Linked DNA regions of Saccharomyces cerevisiae S288C. The protein of the gene in region 2 binds, or shares a complex with, the protein of the main gene of each other region. Each region holds a gene or a part of one and is shown on either strand. Other genes may lie near its edges. The genes, in order: MRP2, NAM9, MRPS5 and RSM10.

Evidence for each region.
Region 1: NAM9 (region 2) and MRP2 share a complex: the UniProt entries of both Saccharomyces cerevisiae proteins name them as parts of the mitochondrial small ribosomal subunit.
Region 3: NAM9 (region 2) and MRPS5 share a complex: the UniProt entries of both Saccharomyces cerevisiae proteins name them as parts of the mitochondrial small ribosomal subunit.
Region 4: NAM9 (region 2) and RSM10 share a complex: the UniProt entries of both Saccharomyces cerevisiae proteins name them as parts of the mitochondrial small ribosomal subunit.

Annotation. Positions count from the first base shown.
Region 1 is NC_001148.4:875,097-878,163, forward strand, and holds MRP2 (mitochondrial 37S ribosomal protein uS14m MRP2), read right to left. Parts: upstream 1,534-3,067; coding exon 1,186-1,533; downstream 1-1,185. Other genes in the region: Rho family GTPase RHO1, read left to right, coding at 272-901; MET16 (phosphoadenylyl-sulfate reductase (thioredoxin)), read right to left, coding at 1,751-2,536; mediator complex subunit NUT2, read left to right, coding at 2,980-3,067. UniProt on the Saccharomyces cerevisiae protein: Component of the mitochondrial ribosome (mitoribosome), a dedicated translation machinery responsible for the synthesis of mitochondrial genome-encoded proteins, including at least some of the essential transmembrane subunits of the mitochondrial respiratory chain.
Region 2 is NC_001146.8:367,410-371,728, forward strand, and holds NAM9 (mitochondrial 37S ribosomal protein uS4m NAM9), read right to left. Parts: upstream 2,647-4,319; coding exon 1,186-2,646; downstream 1-1,185. Other genes in the region: SRV2 (adenylate cyclase-binding protein), read left to right, coding at 1-912; EAF7 (Eaf7p), read left to right, coding at 2,959-4,236. UniProt on the Saccharomyces cerevisiae protein: Component of the mitochondrial ribosome (mitoribosome), a dedicated translation machinery responsible for the synthesis of mitochondrial genome-encoded proteins, including at least some of the essential transmembrane subunits of the mitochondrial respiratory chain.
Region 3 is NC_001134.8:719,274-723,086, reverse strand, and holds MRPS5 (mitochondrial 37S ribosomal protein uS5m MRPS5), read right to left. Parts: upstream 1,698-3,813; coding exon 774-1,697; downstream 1-773. Other genes in the region: DUT1 (bifunctional dITP/dUTP diphosphatase), read right to left, coding at 33-476; SPO23 (Spo23p), read right to left, coding at 2,483-3,813. UniProt on the Saccharomyces cerevisiae protein: Component of the mitochondrial ribosome (mitoribosome), a dedicated translation machinery responsible for the synthesis of mitochondrial genome-encoded proteins, including at least some of the essential transmembrane subunits of the mitochondrial respiratory chain.
Region 4 is NC_001136.10:538,281-541,599, reverse strand, and holds RSM10 (mitochondrial 37S ribosomal protein uS10m RSM10), read right to left. Parts: upstream 1,798-3,319; coding exon 1,186-1,797; downstream 1-1,185. Other genes in the region: YDR042C (uncharacterized protein), read left to right, coding at 397-999; Na(+)/Li(+)-exporting P-type ATPase ENA1, read left to right, coding at 3,133-3,319. UniProt on the Saccharomyces cerevisiae protein: Component of the mitochondrial ribosome (mitoribosome), a dedicated translation machinery responsible for the synthesis of mitochondrial genome-encoded proteins, including at least some of the essential transmembrane subunits of the mitochondrial respiratory chain.

The DNA.
Region 1 (3,067 bases), on a different chromosome or scaffold from region 2:
TTGTATTGGGTACTACATGTTTTAGTAGTTGATACAAATACTTCTTTATCCTAATCGTATATATTTATTTTACCAGCAGGAATTCGTCTTTAATATCGTTTCGACCATCGATCATTCCTCTGAGTATTGCAAAAACATTTTTGGAACAACCCAAACTTAAAGTTACAAAACTCAAAAAAGGAACAAAATTAATAAAACAAAAGAATCGCTGTTAGAGGTTTATTGTTGCACTAATAGAAAATCATAGAACTTTAAAAATTATACTAGAAAGATGTCACAACAAGTTGGTAACAGTATCAGAAGAAAGCTGGTAATCGTTGGTGATGGTGCCTGTGGTAAGACATGTTTATTAATCGTCTTTTCCAAGGGCCAATTTCCAGAAGTCTACGTACCAACTGTCTTTGAAAACTATGTAGCAGATGTTGAAGTTGATGGGCGTCGTGTAGAGCTAGCGCTATGGGATACCGCTGGTCAAGAAGATTATGATAGACTAAGACCATTGTCATACCCAGACTCCAATGTCGTATTAATTTGTTTCTCTATCGATCTTCCAGATTCTTTAGAGAATGTACAAGAAAAATGGATTGCCGAAGTATTACATTTCTGTCAAGGTGTGCCAATTATTCTTGTTGGTTGTAAAGTGGATTTGAGAAACGACCCACAAACCATTGAACAATTAAGACAAGAAGGTCAACAACCCGTTACATCACAGGAGGGACAATCTGTAGCAGACCAGATTGGCGCAACCGGATACTACGAATGTTCGGCCAAGACTGGTTATGGTGTCAGAGAAGTGTTTGAGGCCGCCACTAGAGCTTCATTGATGGGTAAATCTAAAACGAATGGTAAAGCTAAGAAGAACACTACTGAAAAGAAGAAGAAGAAGTGTGTCTTGTTATAGGAGTGTCTCGATCTCTCAGTCGTTAACTTAGTGGCAGATACTGCCCTTTTTCAATCCCATTCCTTTTCTCATTGTATGTACGTATGCCTTTTTTTGTTATTTTAGCTCTAACTATAGCTACTTGTTTTTCTCCCAGTATGTGTATAATCTTATTCTTCTCTACATATAAGTGTATTGCTCAGTAAGTATTATCATCTATTAAAGAAGAATAAAAATTATCATGTATTTATTTACAAGTGCGTATCCTATATATATATATATATATACTTTCGCGATAAAATTTTTTACCAAATACCCTTCTTAACACCTGGCAAATTACCCTTCAGAGCGTTTTCTCTAAATTGATACCTACACAACCTAAAATCACTTAGAACAAATCTTGCATGTCCAGAGTCCACGCACCTATTTTTGATCTGCGTAGATCTCATGTAGTTTGGCAATGCATTTAGTTTTAACTGAGCCTCCAACCTCAGTTTTGTTGGAAGGTTCATATTTCTAGCGATGAATTTCAAAGATTTAACAAGGATTTCATTCTCTTTAAATTGTTGTCTTTTGAAGTTATCCCTAAGTATGCGAGCATTGATAAACCCTGGTGGTAGCTTGGTTTTTATAGGAAATCTGAAATTACCCATCGGTTAATGTATATATTTGTCAGTTTACCTTTTCTTTCGTTTTTCCTTTCAATCCTCTTTATCGCAGTTTGGTTCTTAGTTTGAATATTCCTCTGTTTTCGCTCTTTTCTCGTACAGCGCGAATTCTCCGCCAGCTTTAGAAAGTTGTAATCATTGGTGTTATTAAGGAATAAATAATTAGTCACATACATATGGTTATATATCGTACTCTATCTATCTAGGCATCTTGCTTTAAAAATTGCGCGAATCGGCTGGCTTCATGAATTCCACACTCGGTCTTGGCCTTGCCCTTCCATCTTCCTGCTCTCTCATCTTCACCTTCCTTGACGGGTTGTGTGGAATGGTAATCACCAATGGATCTATATCCAAGGTCCAAAAGTTCGTTGTATGGTACATTGTTTGCATCTATATACTGTTTAACCTGCTCGAACGTCCAATTGATCAATGGATTTATTTTTAAGATTCCATTAAGTTCGTCTATTTCAATAATCGACAGTTGGGAGCGGGCAGAACCTTGTGATTTTCTTCTACCAGTAAACACAGCACTTATATGTAGCTCTTTGTAGGCACGATGTGCAGGTTCCACTTTGGCCAGATAATCGTACTTGTCATCATCTTTCTCCCATAAGAAATCCCCGTATTTCGAGGCAAAATCTGCCTCCGATTCACATCCATCCGGCTTATATACGTGAATGGTTTGATTTTTAGGCTGGTAGTATTTTTTCTCAATCTCGTTTTTTAGTGTTAAAGTTTGTGGGAAATGGTGCAAAGTGTCTATAAATAATAGTTCTGGCATGTAGTATTTTTCAGATAGCTTTGACAACATATCGATAGTAACCAAGCCAGTCAAACCAAATGCAGTGGTTTGGAAAAGGTGAGGAAACGTTACGATAGACCATGCAATAATCTCCTGTGGCGTTTCCAGCTTGATTAGTTGTTCATTCCAATGATCCAACTGTTCTTGTGTGACAATTATATCATTATTCAAATGATAGGTCTTCATTTTATGAGTTGCTATGGGTTGATACCTTTGCTGGCCTTAGTTTTGATCTTAAAGCATTGAAAAGGTTACAAACAGTACAGTATACTTTTTTTATATCAATATAATACTATCTCTATGAGCTTTTACTTTGTCGAGATTTGCTGAGTCATGTTGTGGCTTTTCTTTTACTAGCCACGTGAAATGATGATAAAAATAAAAAGAATAACGACGGAATAAAGAACAGTATGATAAACCGTAAAGATATTTAGAATCAATAGGTGATGTCCACCCGGTAACAAGATGCCATTCATGTTAAACTAGGACAAATTTCCTTCTTGTCCCCCCACCATTCTCTTTTATCCAATTCTTTTGTCAGCGCGCATTAAAGAACAAGAACTTCGTACTTTTAACTACTAACTCCTGTTTGAGAAAGAGGCAAATATATAGAAAAATAAACCGATAAGATGAATGGAAACAGCACTAACAATGAACAATTGCAGCAAGAACTGGCCACTACTCAAGACCAAGTGGCTTCGATTATTGAGTCCTTCG
Region 2 (4,319 bases):
TCTTTCGATAATTTGAAAGCCTACATTAAAGAGTATCATACTACTGGGGTTTCCTGGAAAAAAGACGGTATGGATTTTGCTGACGCGATGGCACAATCAACGAAGAATACAGGTGCTACTTCATCTCCTTCGCCAGCAAGTGCTACAGCGGCTCCAGCACCACCACCTCCTCCACCAGCCCCACCAGCTTCCGTCTTTGAAATCTCTAATGATACACCAGCAACGAGTAGTGATGCTAACAAAGGCGGTATTGGCGCGGTCTTCGCCGAACTAAATCAGGGTGAAAATATCACTAAGGGTTTGAAAAAAGTAGACAAATCCCAACAAACTCACAAAAATCCTGAATTACGTCAATCCTCTACAGTTTCTTCCACAGGAAGTAAATCCGGTCCACCACCAAGGCCAAAAAAGCCATCAACATTGAAAACTAAGAGGCCTCCTAGAAAGGAATTGGTAGGAAACAAATGGTTTATTGAGAATTACGAAAATGAAACTGAATCTCTGGTTATTGATGCAAATAAAGATGAGTCTATCTTCATAGGTAAATGTTCTCAAGTTCTTGTTCAAATAAAAGGAAAAGTTAACGCTATCTCGTTGAGTGAAACTGAGTCATGCAGTGTTGTTCTTGATTCTAGCATTTCCGGTATGGATGTCATCAAATCCAACAAGTTTGGCATTCAAGTTAACCATTCCCTACCTCAAATCTCCATTGATAAATCTGACGGCGGTAACATCTATTTATCCAAGGAATCCTTGAATACTGAAATCTACACCTCGTGCTCAACTGCTATTAACGTCAACTTACCAATCGGCGAGGACGATGATTACGTAGAATTCCCAATCCCTGAACAGATGAAGCATAGCTTCGCTGATGGTAAGTTCAAATCTGCTGTTTTCGAACATGCTGGTTAATATTGCGAGGAGCATTAATTGTATTTAGTTAAAAGAAATAAATCACATTTGAATCAATCAGAAAGAAAAGTGAATGAATAAACAATTATATACTTTTTGTAAAACCTTTTTTTCATGTGTAACCTTTTCTTAAAGAAGTAACAGGAAAACGAGGAGCGACTAAGTGACTACTTGATCGTTCGAGTAGAACTTAAAAACAAAAAAAATTAAATATTTACAGTGTAAAGAGAGGCTGAAGATCAGTCAAAAGACGCGTGCAACAATACACGACGATCATTTACCATTTCTCAAGTAATACATATATGCACGTTCATGAACAGGAACATCAAATGGTGAAATTACTTCGGATTGGCCTGGTCGAGCGACGGGATCCCTTAGGTATACAGCGTGGCATGTCTTGAAAGATATTTCCAAATGATGAGGTAAAATGGCGAAAGGCGATAAAAATGGTCTTGGCTTCCATGGTGTGAAAAAGGGTTTTTTAGGATCTTGCCTACCATAAACATAATTTTTCTGCCACGGCAAGTTTATCAATTTACGTGCTTTTGGTTCATCACCTTCCAATTCAGATAATTTAATCGGATCATGATATTTTAAATTTTTGGCCCATTTGGGGTCGAACGTTAGTGAACCATCAGAAATATCACTCATCCTAGTTTTGAAGTGGTCTGTTATATTTTTCGTCCATAGTTTCACGCTTTCCGCTATGATTCTTTTTCCAGATCTTAAAGCGGATTTGGCTCCATCAGATAATTCTTTTTTTGTGGTTTCGTTAGGATTCATCATTTCTGTAGCCAGTGAAATCAACTCGTCAGGCTGACATTTAGAAATGATTTCTCTTCTAATTTCACCGGATTTGAAAAACTCTTGATAAGCGTTATTTAGACTTTCTAACAACTGAGAGTCCTGGATCTCAGGGAGACCCTGTTTGAGTTCATCTATCGACAAGGGCTCATTATTCGACTTACCTATTTCCTTCTCTACATTTAAAAGCTTTCTCAAGATACCTTCCTGTGTGCATCCCTTTAATGCGTTATATTGCTGTGACTCCAGATTCTTATTATATTGCCTCAAAAATTCTTGAAACTGAAGTTTCTTTGGGTTAGAATCCGACATCTTTTCAAAATTTTCCAACTTCTTCTCCCAAACTTCCTTTGGCTCCGTTTTCGCTTCCTTAACATACTTGTTCCATAAAACTATTTGAGTCTTATCGATCTTTAGCGCTTCTTGGAAACTTGGTTTCTTGGCACCGAGAGCTTCCAGCACTTTGTCCGGTTTGACACTGAACATATCTCCAGGCTTTAAAGTATAGCTTGGATGCTTAATTTTTACACCATTAACGCGAACATTTCCATGCAAGATGAACTGACGAGCTTGTCTTACTGACGAAGCAAACATAGCCCTGAAAAGGGCAAAATCAAGCCTTTTTTCTAATACTGCAAAAGTTTGTAATAAAAATGGTGTTTCCTTGATTTCACCTCCACGCAGTGAAGCATCCAATTGTGCTACTGAATCCAATTTGGGTTTGAAAACGGTTTGCCATCTCTTTTCTGTCAAATGTTCACCATGATAAGCTCGGGTTTCCTGCTTTGCCGTCCACTTCTGTTGATACAAAGATTTAGACTTCAAGTCTACACCACCCTTTTTGTACAAATTAAACAAATTATACTTATTGAAAGAAGTGCGTACTCGTCCTCTTGCCAAAGATTTTAGCAAATTAGCCTTTCTTGGCATTATCTCTGTATTTTAATTGTAACCAGTCTTCCGTACCAAAAAAGTATAAAGGAGCTCCTACTCGATATATATTCGAATTAGTTGCACTTCCTCTGGGGAAACCTTCACCTTTTTGACCGTTCGCTCTCTCTTTTTGTATATCTTCAGCATAGTTCCTTAACTAATACTGCGAAGCGAAACGTATCCGGCTGCCACCATGAAAAGTAAAATCGTGCTTAACGAAGAAATCAATCATATAATCTATGAAGATGGATTGGCGGAGTTTATTAGAAGTTGCTAGCTGCTAGTGAAGAAAAGGGAATCGTGGATGTGATGGTAGTACATTGGACAATTGTGGATGAAATACGACTTCTTAGATGGGCATCTGAATTCAAACCGGCCGGAATTCATAAGCATTTCCACATGTTTTGCATAGTGGAAAGAATGAATTCGCCAGATAAGTATCCAGTGACGCTATTACAGAAAGAAACCATGAAGTTGGGGAAGGTATTTACTGCAAAAGACATATGGGATAAGTTGAGCCAATCTTACAATTTAGAGAAAATTGATGAAATGGAGAATACATATTCCTTGGAAGCCACTACAGAGAGTTCACGGAATGGCAATGGAAATGGTGACGATGCAGAAATTCATGAAGAAACTTTACTTGAATTGAATAATCGAATAAGAGTACGCAAGCAAGATTTTACATTACCTTGGGAGGAATACGGTGAGTTGATCTTAGAAAATGCAAGAAAAAGTCCAAACTCTAACGAAGAGTATCCTCGAGTTGAAGATATGAATGAGAAAGATAGTACAATTCCAAAGGAAAGTCCTTCTACAGACCTAAAGAACGACAACAATAAACAGGAAAAAAATGCGACAATTAAAGTGAAAGAGTTGCCTGAATATCATACAGAGGAAAATGATAGCCCCATAGACGTCCAGAAAGAACCCATTAAGGAGGTGCAAAGCGATGAAAAGGAACTCCAGAGGGAACATATGAGTGAAGAAGAACAGAAAATGAAAAGTACAAATAAAACAGCAGCTCCAGTAAGAAAATCTCAAAGGTTGAAAAGAAGTAAGGAAGTTAAATTTGAAGATGAAGAAAAGGAAGAGATAGAAGAAGATAATACGAAAGACGAAGAACAGAAAGAAAAGAAAGAGGAGATCCAGGAGCCAAAAATAACCCACAATGAAGAAGTAGATAAGGAAAAAAACGAAAACGAAGAAGGTGATGATGAGCGTGAAAAATCCACCTCTTATGAAAATACCAATGGCTCTGAAAGCGAAGGAGTTGACGAAGGAGTTGACGAAGAACTGGGATACGAGTCTGAACGTGAGGCAGAAGGTAAAGGAAAACAAATTGAATCAGAAGGGGGCAACTTAAAGAAAAAAACGGAAAACAAAAAAGGAGATGATCAACAGGATGATACCAAAAAGGATTCTAAGGACAAAAATGAACCATTAGCAAAGAGAACTAGGCATTCATCATCCACAGGTAATACTAGCAATGAAACCTCGCCGAAAAGGAAAAGGCGGAAGGCAGGCTCTCGTAAAAATAGCCCTCCTGCCACAAGAGTTTCCAGCAGGCTACGAAATAAAAAATAATCACTGCTCATATATAGATCGCGATAATAAACGCTCATCCGTTCCATAGAGGTATCTGTATTTAATGTAGTGTAGCAGATATA
Region 3 (3,813 bases), on a different chromosome or scaffold from region 2:
TTATACAAGTGTGCCAAAGTATATACACTAAGTTAGTTACCAGTGCTACCAAAGCCACCGGCCCCTCTTGCACTTTCTTCCAGAGAGTCTACAACAACGATCTGGGCATCATCGACAATTTTTTCCAGAATCAATTGGGCTACGCGATCACCTTTTTTGATCGCGAAATCCCTCTGTGAATGATTGAATAAAACTACTTTAACTTCACCGGTGTAATCTCTGTCGACAACACCAGCACCGGTTTGGATACCGTTTTTCACTGCCAGGCCTGACCTTGGCGCAATACGACCGTAGGTACCAACAGGTACGGTGAACGATATGTCGGTGGAAACCATACCTTGACCCATAGCCGGAATGGTAATATCCTGAGATGCATAAATGTCGTATCCCGCGGCAGTGGCAGAACCTTTGGTAGGTACAGTAGCGCTTGCTGAGCGCAATTGAATCTTTAGTACTTTGTCGCTAGTAGCAGTCATTTGGTTATTTTTTGGCTCGCTGTATCAGTGCAAACATCTCATTCGAGAACTTAGTTGTTTCTACTTATTAAATGGTAGCGCGTAATATTTTTCCTTTTATAATTTTCAATGGTAGTAAATCAGAAATTATGGAAAAAAAATAAAACTTGGACAGAAAAAAATATTGCTATGAAGAAAAATTGAATATGCTTATCAGCTCATTTGATTGAGTATGTTGAGATATTTACAGGTATTATTATTGCTGTATTTACTTATGTAAAACGAGAGATAATGGTGCGTGTGTATGTACATAGTATTTCAGCTTGAATAGTAAACTTTCCTGACATCAACAAGCTTTTTGCCTCTACCCAGGGCAACCTCATCCAATGTCTTTTGAGCTTTCGTGAAAGCCTCGATGGTACCTTTAGCTATATTCATATCGTTTCTGGATTTATATACTTTCCCACTCAGATCTTTGATACCTGCACATTCACAAATCTCAAAGATTACATGGTTTACACGTAATCCAAACCCTGGTTTTGCACTTCTTAAATGTAGTTTCACACCATGATACCTAAAATCTATATCACCATAAATAGTTCTGTTTTCATACCTAGGTATTTCCTTCAGGTTCCTTACCGCATCCCAATGAGCTTTAAAGATCGCTTTGGACATTTCTTCACGAGATTTACCTTCTCCCAAACCTACCATACCGTTTTTGTCACCAACGACAACCAAGGCATAGAAAGACGCAATTTTACCCTTCCCAGTCTGATTTGACACTCTTTTCATCACCAGCGGCTTCATAGTCAACTTTCTAGTGATATAATCCGGATCTACACCGGTTTGCTTGTGTAGCCCTGCAGCTACATCGGCGCTTTTCGATTTCCGACCACCATCGTTTGGTAAGCTGACTCCTGGAGGCAGAATGTTACCTTCGCCTGGTAATGGTTGTTGTACCTGGTCCCATCTAAAGATGCTGAAGTTATTATTCTCCTCTTGAGCGTGGAGATGGGGCATGCCTGGTTTGTAATCCCAAAAAGGATGTATTTTGGTAAAATCATCCAAATATGGTGGTGCGAATTCCACGTTACGAGATACTCTGAATTTAGTATCTTCTGGTATCGTTTGTTGAGCAAGTTTTATGGATTTTAAAAGACTTTCAGGATAGTACCTTGATAATAGCGACTCATCATAATGCTGTAGATAACGAACACTAGTCGATAATTGCCTCTTGAACATCTTTACCTATTGATCTATGAAATCTGTTTCTTGTATGGTTTACCGTCTACTTTGACAACAATAACGATAGGTCTTTTAGTGGTGCTTGTATTATTGTCTTGTCAATTCGTCTTTTTTTTTTTTTCACTTTAAGGAACTTTACTCCGCGAATAAAAGAAAGCATCACCATGTAATGAAATATATGGGATACATAAATGTATGGGATACATACGACTGTTACTTGCTACCTCATTTGGAGATCACTAGCTCAGTTGTAAAACTTTTCCATTTGATTGAATAAACTCTAACCTTTTTCATACTGGTAGTAAAAGTCAAACCTACGAAAGTTCACATAATAAGGCCTTCACGCCAAGAGAGTCTAGTGTAGTGTTCTTCAGCTCCTATTGATATACTTTTAGTGCCCAAACACGGGATGTTTCAAGTAATTTTTCCTTCTCTAATTTGACAAGGGAAAATATGGCTAGTAATTCTTGTAAAAATGTCTTCTCCTCAGAGTGGGCGGTGCTTATGTATTAGAACCGGTCGAAATATCATAATATACACCGGCCAGTAGAGAACGGACATGGCGACTTGATACATAAAATGTCTATCTCGGAAGCTGATCAACTTGTGAAGTAGTATTATAGATATCAGCGTGCAAGATACTTACAAAAAGAGAGACCTGTAAATTTATTGTTACGTAAATACATAGTAGAATAAGAAACTAATAAAAAATAGTATATGTATATCATGCAAATAAAAAAAAAAAGGATAAAATAGAGGCGTTGTTCTGAGGTACCGAACATTCATAAGCTATTCTCACCTGCTACCATAGAATATAGTGGGGGTTCATCTTGTAGATCACTAATATTTTCAAATTTTTCATATTTGGGTAACAAAGAGCTGGTCGAAATATCACTATCGCCAACTAAAATTGGAAAATTCACCGTAATACGATAATTTTTTTTCATTTCAAGCCCTTCCACCAATTCATTCCTGCTATAGGTTATTCTGAACAAAAGCAAATGAGTTACTTTGAGGGCAGCATGATTGGGATAAAATGAACTTGGTTCACAGTAGAATGTTTTAAACCAGCTCGGTAGACCATCCGCATAGGTTGGGATGACAACGTCATCAAAGCAAAATCCGAAAATGGTCTTGTCGGAATCGAAACTTTGGCTTTCTACAGTTCTTAGTAAATACTCGGACTTTTTAATGTATGGCTCTCGTAGTATTTTCTTGGTCTTCAAATCAATACTTGGTATTGCCATTCTCTGTGCAACTGCCAAAGAAGCTTCCTGTAATTCAATGGAAGAATCTGTTTTGGTAATTGATAATATCATTTGGAAAGGCATACCAATTTCAATCAACTTGGAGTTTCCAATGACCGATACTACGATCTCACTTGCAGTATTGTATGACCTTAATTGAAATGTTTCAAACTTAAGCATACTCGTTGAAGGCAGGACTCTTTTAACTTTAATTTCTTCTGTTAAAATGATCTTATCTGTAAAACTTTCATTCTTCAAAAATTTGAGTAAGTTTTTAGGTTTACTTGGTATTCTCATTATTGTTGTTAAGCTTTCTATTCGAAAATGGGTCTTGCCAAAGAAGGAAGAGAAACTTGCTGGGAAAGTATTTGCTTGAAGGGTAAAAGTGAATGGGTAATCGTACGTGCCCTTTGTCAATAGAATTTTCTTATCATTTAATGAGTGGTGTATGACTCTCAACTGCTGTTTGGGGTAGGTGGAAGACTCAAAAAACTCTGTGTGATTAAGTTCTTTGATAATTTTGTCACTATAGGAGTTTTTGCTAGTTTCTGAATTTACAAAGCATGCATATTCCTTTGTGAAACATTTTAAAGAAATTGAATGGGAAGTGATTAAGAGGGCCTGGTCTTCTCTATCAATGTTTATCCTAATCTTTCCTTTGATTTGTAGAGGAGTGGCTCTTTCTCTTTCAACATTTGTAGATATATTATCCAGTGAGGAATCGTAATACAACGGATAGTCAGCATTCAATTGTAAATCGGAGAACATTAGTGTTTTGTACTTGTTATCTAGATACAATTCAATGCTGTAACCACATTTTTTATCTACAGATGATGTTACATAGGGATTTTCGTACAGCCGTAGTG
Region 4 (3,319 bases), on a different chromosome or scaffold from region 2:
ATATTTTCGCGTCATTCTTGCTGATTTTCTTTTTTCTTATTCTTATTGTGCTTCATCCTCCATCTTCAATGGCGGTAACGTAAATCAGAGTAGCTTTCATTTTCTTTATTTCTGTTTCTGTTTCGCGTCGGGATAACAAAGCGTACTTACTAATGGCTATTATTTTTGCTAATGACACAAAATCCTGTTACCAATTTCCAAGAAGAAAGGCGGATAACAGGGAAAAATTTGAATCTGTGTATCTGCAGTACAAATATTATATATTGGAAGAACACGCACTTATATCTTCTTCATGTTTGTCATTTTATTAGAAACTTTACTATTGAAAATAGCGAATCAACAACAGCTAACAAACGACTAGGTCTCTAAGAGAAAAAATCTTTTTCTTTTCACAACATGGAGCAAATATTATATAATCAAAGCCTTAAAATTTCTACCCTTTCTACTTTTCAAGGTTTAAAGTTTCTAAAGGTCCTCATTTTTTCTATTTTCCAACAACTATTTTATAACCCAGTTATACAATTATTCGGAACGAAAGCCTCAATAATGGAATCTGATTCCACTACTCTGCTCGAAAGTAGTTGGAGTACTGAGCGAAACTTTCTCAATATGAATTCAGATTCCATATCTGCTACCAAGAATGTTTTTATATTATTTTTTACCATTTTCAGATTAGCGGAGTATATTGTATACAAACTCTCTGACCAGAAGTATCGGTTACACACATCCCTGAATGTCCAACATTTCAGGTGGAATTCGAAGAAGAATACAAACAGAAAAAGGACACTTTCCTTTAGCAAAGCTTACTTACCAAGAACAAATATACTACCGATTTTTGTAGCCGATGGACTAAAAAATAGATTCTCAGGCCCGCTACCTGGTAAGTCCTTGGAAAGCTTCCAGAAACTAAATTTATTGAGCGATAACAATATTAAGCGGTATGCAGTACCAGGAAACAAAGCAGTGAACACACTTTTATGGCAAGAGCAATACTCATAACGGGCCGCAATATTAGTACAAAATTGTTCATCATATAGTTAAAAAATATAATTAAACTTACTTATAAATTCAGTATAACCATTTAATCTACTACTTTTTGCCCCTCTTCTTCACCTATTTTATTTACAAGTACGAAATCTTTTCGGTCCCAAGAACCAGCGTAATTATAGGATTGCCATCATCTTTTTACTTCTTTTCCAAATGTTTTTTAAAATCGGGGCTATCCAATAGTTCCAATACTTTTTGTCCGACAGCACTAGTTTGAGCTTTATCATCGTTTCTCAGAGAATACAATTCATCGATATTGCTTAGTGATTTTTCGAGGCCATTGGCGTCCGAACCCAAGTCCAGCGATATTTCGGACCTTTGAAAGAAGTTACATTTCATTCCGACGCCTGCCATAGAGTGCTTCGTAATGTAAGCTATCAACATCTGTAGCACTTCGGGGTTCGTATCCCAGGCCCTAATGAGCCTCTTATGTGTATGTCTTTCAAAATTCTCTTTGGATTTAGCGTGCACGAAAGGTGATTTTATTACAGTCCACCTTTCTCTTCTCGTGGGCAAAGGTTTAGGACCTGTCAATGGGATACCCAAATAGTAACCTGTTCTAAGTATGAAGTCTGAATAAAAATCGAGGTTTTCATTGTCATACGATCTTAACTGAATGTCTGCAACTAAATCACCATATTTGATAGGTAACTTTAAAGGAGCATAGTAGACTGCCTCTACATTTACAGGATATGGGCGCGTCGACTGTGTTCTGATAAATGATCTTAATGCAATGGTATTTCTAAGCATTGGCCAATGTTTTTCCCCCTTTTCTGATTTTGCACGGTTCGCATAATTCTAATTTGTACCAAATAGTTTCATTTCATGCCCTTTCTTGCATTTTTTCCTTTTCAAAAGAAAATAGATGTACAGGTATTACCCGCCTGGTACATAGTTTGCTAACATTCTTGCCCAATCTCTCTGCTGTTAATAAAGGATGTGTGGATACATGACTAATTTCCGGATTAAACAGTGACGATAAGAAACGGTATGGCAAGAGTCAGAATTTGATAAGACTTCAGTAATATTGATTATCGGTCGAACTAAGCTACCCTCTTGGTTAAATTCTAATGACTACCAGTGTGGTCAATATTTTAGGGTTATCGGTGAACGATAACAAAATCCGTAATTGTTTCCTACGCTGGTTATTACTAAGTAGCCACTCGGTGGCTATCTCTAGCCGTTCATCAATCATGTCAAAAGTACAATCACTGAGCTTATTAAGTCATCCGCACGTGGAACTCACACAAGCCCCGAATTTTGTCAGCCATTCCGTGGAAAATCCTTTATCTCGTCACTCTTGTACGGAAGTTGCACCTTTAGCCCCACTCCCAGATCTTCAATCACAGAGGCAATGAGGGTGGCTGTGCAATGTAAACTTTCTTATCGCTTCCTGTTATGATTGATTACCATGCGCGGTAGAAGGATTGAATGAGGGGTGTGGGTGTGATAATTCATGTACGGACCCTTTCCTCCCAGAAGCTTCTGCACGAAGTGGTTACATTGTGAGTACAGGGTCTTAAACATCGCCGTGCGGCGTCATTTTGCGGGGCTCATCATTTATTTCCTACTTCTATGACGTTTGTTAGGGCAGGGATGTAGATTTTGGTCATATACTTTCACCTGACAGAAGAAAAAACAAGGTCTTAGAGCAGTATTCCCGAATTATTGCCTCTTTCCTTGGTGGGTGCGGGTTAATATTAGATGAACGGTGGGTTGTGGTCAAACCCGGGGTAGGTTTTAAAATGTCATGCGTTTTCGTCATTTACATAGATATATACAGGGAAAATATATATATATATATATATATATATATATACCTAAGGGAAACAATTTGAATAGATAAAAGGTCTTTTCCTCTTATTCCGTTCTTTCTTTTTAGAGTACTATTAATTTCTACTATTTCTCCTATCTTTCTTTTCTCATTAGTAATAGTCTAATCATTTATATTCTAATATTAACTTTAATAAAGCAGATATCTTCATCAAGTGAACTGTTCACACTTAATTCACATTTATTTGAGGCAACAATACGTATATTTACTAATTAAAGAAAAAACTTCGTACACAGAATTGAAAATTTTCGATGGGCGAAGGAACTACTAAGGAAAACAATAATGCAGAATTCAATGCTTATCACACGCTGACTGCAGAAGAAGCCGCTGAATTCATAGGCACAAGTCTAACTGAAGGTTTGACCCAAGATGAGTTCGTCCACAGATTGAAAACAGTGGGTGAGAACACATTGGGTGATGACACTAAAATTGATTACA